Linked DNA regions of Oryctolagus cuniculus. The protein of the gene in region 1 interacts with the protein of each later gene in a biochemical or structural test. Links are inferred from orthologs where the notes say so. Each region holds a gene or a part of one and is shown in the gene's direction. Other genes may lie near its edges.

What was found. The genes of interacting proteins can lie anywhere in the genome.
Region 2: the proteins of CDC25B (region 1) and YWHAB form a complex in vitro, tested with the Homo sapiens proteins (2 studies listed by BioGRID). The link is inferred for Oryctolagus cuniculus from reciprocal best matches to the Homo sapiens genes CDC25B and YWHAB.

The regions. Positions count from the first base shown.
Region 1 is NC_091442.1:29,126,786-29,130,878, forward strand, and holds the start of CDC25B (M-phase inducer phosphatase 2), read left to right. Parts: upstream 1-1,293; 5' UTR 1,294-1,473; coding exon 1,474-1,673; intron 1,674-2,473; coding exon 2,474-2,595; intron 2,596-3,221; coding exon 3,222-3,273; intron 3,274-4,093. UniProt on the Homo sapiens protein: Tyrosine protein phosphatase which functions as a dosage-dependent inducer of mitotic progression. Directly dephosphorylates CDK1 and stimulates its kinase activity.
Region 2 is NC_091442.1:14,249,462-14,254,261, reverse strand, and holds part of YWHAB (14-3-3 protein beta/alpha), read left to right. Parts: intron 1-1,428; coding exon 1,429-1,592; intron 1,593-2,460; coding exon 2,461-2,556; intron 2,557-3,516; coding exon 3,517-3,573; 3' UTR 3,574-4,800. UniProt on the Homo sapiens protein: Adapter protein implicated in the regulation of a large spectrum of both general and specialized signaling pathways. Binds to a large number of partners, usually by recognition of a phosphoserine or phosphothreonine motif.

The DNA.
Region 1 (4,093 bases):
TAGGTAGGGTGGGTCGCCTCCTGAGGCACAGCCCCCCTCCCCCCCCCATCCCTCCCAGCCGGTGGCTGGGCGGTGGCTGGAGGGTCAGAGCCAGACCCTTGACTGCCGAGAATGAAAGGAAACAGCACCGGGGCTGGGCAGAATGTTCAAAGTTGCTCCTCTCGGGTGGGACTGGAGCCTCCCCTCTCCTTCCCCAACCCTGCAGCGCCACCCCACCCCCCACCCCGCCACTCCCTTTCGCCAACCTCACCCAGGGGCGAGGTTCGGGCAGCGAGGGAAGGGACGCGGGTGCTCGCGACCCCTCCCTCCAAGCTGCGCTCCCCTCCTGAGCCTGTCACCCTCGGGAGGTCGCCGCTTCCCCAGGGAGACGGGGTGCGCTGCGTACCCCCCAGAAGGGGTGCAGCCCTTTGGCCTCATTCCAGGAAGACAAGGGCTCAGCTGGGAGGTGATTAGGTAATTAGAAGATGCCCAATTTAAACTAATGACAGATTCTACAAAGAAACGCCAGTTGAACAATACTATGCCATTGATACCAAGTGAGCCAAGCCACCATTGTAGGTTCTACTTCCATTACCGAGTTCTCTGGTCGCTGGCCCCTTCCTTGACGCCCCGGGTCCAGTCCAGCCGTCAGAGCCTCCCCTGGACTGCTAGAGAAAGCGGGGCCCCTGGCGGCCTCGGGCTCCCACCGGCGTCCCACCGCCTGCACTGGGCGTTCGGTCCACGAATTACCCTTTGGAGCTGCTCCGCGCTGCCAGACGCTGGGGCAAGGAGCCGGCGGGGTCAGGGGCGTCGGGCAGCGAGCGAGGGCTGGTCCCACCACTTTCCCAAATGCATGACCTTGAACAAGCCCATGAACTTCACGCCTCCACATCCGCGTCTGTGAAATGGGACGGTGAACGCAGCCCGCCCAGGGCCGCCGTGCTTGGCAAACGTGCCGGATCCTCCTGGGGCTCGCGCGCGATGTTAACCCCGGGTGCCTCTTTTCCGGACCCCCCTGGGGCCTGTGGCCCGCTCTGTCGGTGGAAGGTTCCACATTAGGTCCCAGAGCGCGGGATTCGGGGGGTCTCCACCTCGCGCCCGGGTTGGGGGTGGCGGGTGTGCAAGCCGTGGGATGGACCCCAGTTCCTCCGCCTCCCCCGAGGCTGGAGCTGGGCGGGCCGGGCTGGTCCAGCCCCCGCGCCTCTTGCTTCGCGGGCCCCGCCCCCGGGCCCGCCCTCCTCTAACCCGCGCCCCCATTGGTGGCGTCCGGCGGCGCGGCCGCTGTTATTTTTCGAATATATAAGGAGGTGGAGGTGGCAGCTGCAGTCAGAGGCTTCCCGGACTGGTGCTTGAGTCCCGCGCCCCTCACCCCTCCCCACCCTCCCCGCATCCCTCTCCTCCCTCACTCCCAGTCCCACTGCTCTTCCTCCCTCCCTCCCTTCCCCCAACCCCGGGCCCGCTCCCGGCCCCAGGCCCTCCACCCGCCCCGCCGCGATGGAGGTGCCCCGGCCGGAGCCTGCACCATGCTCGGCCCTTAGTCCGGCCGGCGTGCGCGGTGGCGTCCAGCGTCCGGGCCACCTCCCGGGCCTCCGGCTGGGGTCTCATGATCTCCTGGGGTCTCCGGAGCGCACGGCCGCTTCCTCGCCGGTCACCACCCTCACACAGACCATGCATAATCTGGCGGGGCTCGGCAGGTAGGACGCCTCCCAGAGGCTGGGCGTGGGGTGAGAGACCAGGACGGGGTCCTTCGGCTCCAGAGGAACCGCGCGTGGGAGTTGAGCACTACAGGTGGGGTGGGGATGCGGCCGGGTCAGCGCAGAGGGAGTCCCTACCCCTGCTTCAGGGGCCCTGGGCAAGGGGCATCAGACCCTCCAGGTGACCCTTTGGTCTGCGCAAGCCTCCAGGGACCCTCCTTCCCCTCCCCCTCCCTTACTGTGACTCGGCCACGGTGCCCCCCCCCACCCCAATCTCTGTCCGCATCTCCTCCATTTTCCCCAGGCGGGGAGATATGAGCCGGGAGGGGGAAGTTGAGGGTGGCAGAGCAGTGGGGTTCTCACAGGCCCATGCCTCTGCTCCCTCCACCCTGCTTCTGCCCCCAGGGTTCAGGTCATTAATCCTAATCCTGTTCCCTAAGCAAGCCTCAGGGGCTGGGCTGACTTCCCCCAGCAGCCATAGAGACCCAGGTCTCTCTCTCCAAGGAGGCCCTGGGATGGGTAGGGGTCTGAGGAGCAGAGGGCTCCCAGGGCTGCTCTCTCGGCTGCCCCACTGACCGCCACGCCAGCCCCCAGCCTCTTTGCCCTCGCCCTGTGATCACTTGCCCTGCACCTGGGAGGGCCTCTCCTAAGCCTGCCATCCAAGAGAAGGCACTTGGTGGGCTAAGCCTCCTTGTCCTGAGGAGCAGGTGGGCCCTTCAGAGCTGGGTGACTGAGAACAGGGAGGGCCTGGAGGCCTGCATTTACCTCTCTCCTTTTCTGGTACCCCCTTCCCCTCCCAGTGAGACCCCAGAGGCTCAGGCCGGGAGCCTGCTCTTCCGAAGCCGGCTGGCGCGTCTGTCCCTGTCACGGCGGGCATCCGAGTCTTCCTTGTCATCTGATTCCTCTGAGTGTTCTGATGCAGGTGAGGCCCCACACGTGGTTGGGGAGGTCTGAGTTTGGGGGGCTGCCTGGGCTGCTGGATGCCCTGCAAGGTCAGATTAACATTCTTCCCACAACCTGGTGTGCCCGGGAGCCTCCCTGCTTGGCCTGCAAAACTGGGAGGAAGACACACCTCTGGCGGGACCCACCCACCCAGCCCGGGCTGGTGGCCGGGTGGGGCCCTCTGTGGGAGGGGAGATCTCACCTATCCGAAACCAGGCACCAGAGTCCTTAAACCACACATACAGCCCCACCTGGGAGCCGCGGGAGCCTGCGAGCTGATCTGTCTACAGCATTCTCTGAGTCTGTAACTTTAAGAAGCCGTGATCTCTTCTAAAACAAATTATTTTAAACCAGTTCATGAAAAAAATGCTTAGCAAGCACTGTGGTTTTAAAATGTATAGGACAGGAGTTCCCATAGTAACAGGGAGTGGAGCCCTGTGTTGTGTGGGGACAGCATGTCAGCTCATGGCTAGGTTCTTGTCTCATTTTTTAAAGTGTGTCCAGATGGAAAGCAGAAATAGGGCTTCCTCCCCTTCCTGGGACATGCTGGGGGGAAACAGGTAGGGAACGTCACCCCTTTCAAACCCAGGCCCTCTGTCCCCACAGGTCTCTGCATGGATTCGCCCAGCCCTGTGGACCCCCAGGTGGCAGAGCAGACGTGAGTAGATGCCGGGGACCCCTACACAAAGGAGTCGCCACCTGCCTTTGGGAATCCCCGTTCTAGCAAAAGCTCGCTGGAGAGCTCTGGGAGAGTGGAAGGAGTCCTCAGGCCCCACAAAGAGGGCTCGGTGACCTGCCTTGGCCTTGGGCTTCGGCTTCCTGTCTCAGAAGTGTCTGCTTTCAGAAAGCTGGCTGAAAGTGGACGGGGGCCAGGGGTGGTGGGGACAGTGGCCCCTGGGAGCAGTGGGTACTGGACCCCAGCTGGGCCTTGTCCTATGGGAACATAAGTCCAATGTGTGTCCTGTTATCCTTTGTTGCTTCTACACATTGTTTTAAACTAGGAAATAATCACAATTTAAAAATATGTTCCAACTAACTCAGTGCTTTAATTCACTCTGTGTCAAACACAATACAGTTGCTTGCAGACTGATTGGGCCTTAGGCCCATCAGCAACCTCTGGCTTCAGACACTTGACCCCTGGCCAAGCCCTGGACCAGGTCCTTTGTGAGAGAGAGGGAGTGGACAGAGCTGGTGGGCTCTGCTGTGGACAGATACCTCCCCGTCGTGGCGGGGGGGGGGGGGCAGGAGTAATGCCATCCGCAGCACAGCTGTTCCCATCCAGCTGTTAAGACCCAAACAGGTGGAGCAGCTGCCAGCCATTAGTAGGGACAGCTGAGCATCCCTCTCCTGGGCTGGAGGTCTCTGGCTGTGGGTTTAAGGCATCAGCGGCTATGACTGCTGTTCCTCCTGTTGCCTTTGATCAGACTGGGCTGGGCTGCAGAGTTTGTTCACAAACAGGAAATGGGGAGAGAATTGGG
Region 2 (4,800 bases), about 15 Mb from region 1:
AAGTACAGACTTACAGTGTATTATAATTATTTCATCATTATTTTCATGATCTCTTAGAGTGACTAATTAGTAAATTAAGGTTTATCATAGGTATGTATGTATATATAGGAAAAAACTGAGTGTTATGTTTATATAGTTTAATTATGTCTGCAAAATCAGGCATTCACTGAAGGTCTTGGAACAGATTCTGCCATGAATAAGGGAAGTGCTACTATGTGACAAGTGTATTAGAGTCTCATTTATTATTCATGTAACCTTACGAGTCTTTTTTTTTTTTTTTTAAGATTTATTTATTTATTTGAAAGGCAGAGTTAGAGAGAGAGAGGTGTTCCAGAGCAGCTGGGACTTGAACCTGCACCCATATGGGATACTGGCACTATAGATGGTGGCTTTACCCGCTATGCCACAGCATCAGCCCCACCTTTTGAATTTAGATGAAAGTCTACCTATTTTTCTGATAAGGAAACCAAGGTTCACAGAGGTTTTGTTGGGGATATGTTGGTAGAGAGGTAGAGAGCTCCCATTTGCTGGTTCACTTACCAAAGGCCCTCAGTGGCTGGGGCTGGGCCAGGGTAGAAGCCAGGAACTAGGAACTCAATCCAGGTTTACCCACATGTGTAGCAGAAACCTGATTATTTGAGCTGTCATCACTGCCTCCCAGAGTCTGCATTAGAGGGAAGCAGAGTTAGGAGCCAGAGCTGAAAAATCAAACCCAGACGCTCTGATGGGAGACGTGAGCATTTTAACTGCTAGGCTAAACACCTGCCCCTCACAGAGGTTTTTACTTGCGCTCGGCTACTTAATTAGTAAGAGTTGAGAATTGAAGTTTGGGTCTGTTGGCTATAAAGCATAGGACCTTCTACCCAGGGCATGTTGTTGTCCATATTCTGTTTTATTAAATGTTAGTCTGGGGCCGGCACTGTCGCATAGTGGGTGAAGCCACCGCCTGCAGTGCCAGTGTCCCATAGGGACGCCCGTTCAAGTCCCAGCTCTCTACTTACCATCCATCTCCCTGCTGATGCACTGGGAAAGCAACCAAGGATGACCCATGTGCTTGGGCCCCTACCTCCCACATGGGAGACCCAGAGGAGGCTCCTGGCTTCAGCCTTCGCCATATTTGGGGAGTTAACCAGCAGAGGGAAGATCTCTCTGCTTTTCAAATAAATAAAGTAAATCTTTTTTAAAAAAAAAAAAGTTGTGTCTTGGTTTTTTAATTCCTTTGGTAGACCTTTCTATAATTGTCTTTGTGTCCTCCCACCCATTTAATATAGTACTTGGTTTGTAAGTAAATATTTGACAAATGTATAATTAAATGGTGGAGATAGTGACAACTTAAGTGATTGATCATTTGCTGTGACCTGCTTTGACAGATTCAGTGTCAACCTATGAAAGAACTCAGCTTTTAATATTTTTTCATCTTTCTTACAGCCACTGTATCGAACTCCCAGCAGGCTTACCAGGAAGCATTTGAAATAAGTAAGAAAGAAATGCAGCCCACACACCCAATTCGGCTTGGCCTGGCGCTCAACTTCTCCGTCTTTTACTACGAGATTCTAAACTCCCCTGAAAAGGCTTGCAGCCTGGCAAAAACGGTAAGACAGACCCGCTGTGGTTGCAGGTCCTGATAAACTTTGCTTTTGATGTCTTCTTTTTATTCCTGAACATACTCACTGTCTTGGACTTTTTAAAGGTTTTCTGGGAGTGAGATTATTTCTTTCATGAGACAAATATAGACCTTTTCCTTTTTAAATTGTTTTCCTCAATAACTCCTCCTGATTTTTGTTTTGTTTCACTTGTTTTTTGCATTTTGTTGGGAGAGGGAGTTGTAGAAAATTCCAGGTGAAGATAGTTTCTTGTTTCTCGTCACGTTTTGGCCTGGATTGCGTGTTGTCATCCTTGTATGGAGATGGGAGGCTGTGGCTGTGTAAGTGGAACAAGTCACACCACATGTGCTTCGTGTACTGAATTACCTCCTCTCTTCAGTCTTTTCTACATATTGTTGTTGTCTTTCAATATGCACACTATGAAATGAATTCTCAGAGTTGTATCCGTTAAATCAGATTTAGTGATAAAAGTTTCACTCGTCTTCCTTTAATCTTTGTATCCAGACCTTTTGAGTATTAGTTAAAGCAAGAATGAAAAAAAAAAGTACTAGAAATGTCTTTGGTAATTAAAGAATTGTGAATTTGCCTATAGTAAATGTGCTAGGGCTACTAGTAATACTGCTTACTTAGAGGGTACAACAGTTCTTACTGTGAATATTTGTCATTGTTCATTACTGCTTTGTAAATGTACGTTGTATGTTTGCTGAAGCAACCAGCAAACAAGGGAATAATAGCCCAGGTTGCCCTGAAGTTCTGTACAAGAAAAGAAATTATAGTCACTTAATAGTGCAAAAGAAATGGGTTAAACCAGCTCCAGAGAATTCTTGGATTCTTTACTAACAGCTCTTTGTTTTAGGCATTTGATGAAGCAATTGCTGAATTGGATACACTGAATGAAGAATCTTACAAAGACAGCACCCTGATCATGCAGTTGCTTAGAGACAATCTCACCGTGAGTGCTACTTCTGGAGGGCTTTCAGTCTGTTTCCTTTCCATCTACTTAATAATTCTCTGTTCTCCAAGATTCAAGAGGGATCTTATCTTGTTAAATGTAGTTAATTTTTTTTTTTTTTTTTTTTTTTTTTTTTGACAGGCAGAGTGGACAGTGAGAGAGAGAGACAAAGAGAAAGGTCTTCCTTTGCCGTTGGTTCACCCTCCAATGGCCGCCGCGGCCGGCGCACTGCAGCCGGCGCACCACGGCCGGCGCACCGCGCTGATCCGATGGCAGGAGCCAGGAGCCAGGTGCTTCTCCTGGTCTCCCATGGGGTGCAGGGCCCAAGCACTTGGGCCATCCTCCACTGCACTCCCTGGCCACAGCAGAGAGCTGGCCTGGAAGAGGGGCAACCGGGACAGAATCCGGCACCCCGACCGGGACTAGAACCCGGTGTGCCGGCACCGCTAGGCGGAGGATTAGCCTAGTGAGCCGCGGCGCCGGCCTGTAGTTAAATTTTTTTAAAGATTTATTTATTTGAAAGCTAAAGTTACAGAGAGGGAGAGGCAGACAGAGATCTTCCATCCGCTGGTTCACACCCAGATAGCTGCAGTGGCCAGGGCTGGGCCAGGCAGAAGCCAGGAGCTCGTCTGAGTCTCATGTGCAAGGACCCCAGCACTCGGGCCGTCTTCGGCTGCTTTCCCAGGCGCATGCTGGAACGGAGCTGGATCAGAATCGGAGCAGCCAGGAGTCTTTTAACAGGCGCCCATATAGGATGCTGGCATTGCAGTCGGTAGTGTAACTTGCTGAGCCACAGCGCCAGCCCCTACTTGAGTTTTGACCTTTGCAATCGTCACTGCAGTAATACAGGAAGAATTTTAAATAATTCCGTGAGATAAGATTACATTGACTGGGCCACCTCCCTGAGTAAGTGTTCATAGCCCTACTTTGATTATTGTGCTTTTTTTTTTTTTCTTGCAGCTGTGGACGTCGGAAAACCAGGGAGATGAAGGAGATGCTGGGGAGGGAGAGAACTAATGTCTGCCGTGCTTTGTGATCTGTTCGGTGTCACTCTGTGCCCTCCACATACATCCCTTTGTGCGATAAAAAGAATCGTACGTTGACTTTCAATTTTCACAGCCTCAGCCTAGCAAAAATGGTCTATGGGATAAACAGCTGGTATTTGTATCTAAATCTAGATTGGTCACATAAATGCCACGGCATTCTGAAGTTTTGATTTTGATTAACATTGACAGGATTACTGTGTGTTTAATTTTTAAAAACTGAACACTGTGATTATGGGGTTTTGTAATTTAGCAGAACTCTTACTGGTTAAAAAAAAAAGACCTGAATTATGTGTAACTTTTGGAAAGTTTAATCTGATATCAAAATAGTCACTGAAGTACAAATCCATTGTAAAGTTGTACAGAAAGTTATAGAAACTATATTGTGATGCTGGGACTTGGAGCGAGACACCACCATTTGGCGTTCAAATTCAGTGGTAATTCACAGTAATTCTGCCTGGTCAGGGTTTAAGGACACGTAACTGGTTTGGGCTCAAAAGTTCATGACCACAAATGTCTATGGTGTCATCCTCTGAGGAAACTCAAAACCTGAAATTAAAATTCTTTGAGGCAGATAACTGGGTTATGACACTGCACAAGGTCCAGTGCTCACACAGCGCTGACTGAACCCCATTTCCTTCAGCAATATGTTACCCACTTGCCACTTGAGAACGATGCAATCTGTTTTCCTTGTAACCACTTAGCTAAAGGAGAAAAAAAAAAAAAGCCGTGTGTCTTATGGATGGCCTTCCCGTGTCCTGGATAACACCTGTAGGAACGGCGTTCTGGAGAGACTGCCTTTCACTTGAAGAATACTCAGTCCTTGGGTTCTTCCTAGCTCGGGGCTTTTACATTTGGAAACCTAAACATTCTTCCCCCTGTCCTTCCCAACTGCTGACCATGGGTTTCTCTTCCCCCTTTAGTTTCTGTCCTCCTTCTTCCTTCTGTTCTTTCCTAGTTCTTTTTCTCTTGTTCACTTTGTCATACTAAATAGGCAGAGGGTGAGAGATGTTGGTGAGCACCTTGGTGAGCAGGCCTTGCTTCCGAGGGCTCCCGGCACCCTGGCTCTGTCTTCCTCCAGTTCCCAGCATGACCATTGTTCTCCAGTCACGTCAAGATGAGAATCCAAAGGAGTATTTTTAAATGTCCATGACTCCCCTGCATTGCAGCCAGCCCTGATAATGCTTGTTAGGACAGGTCA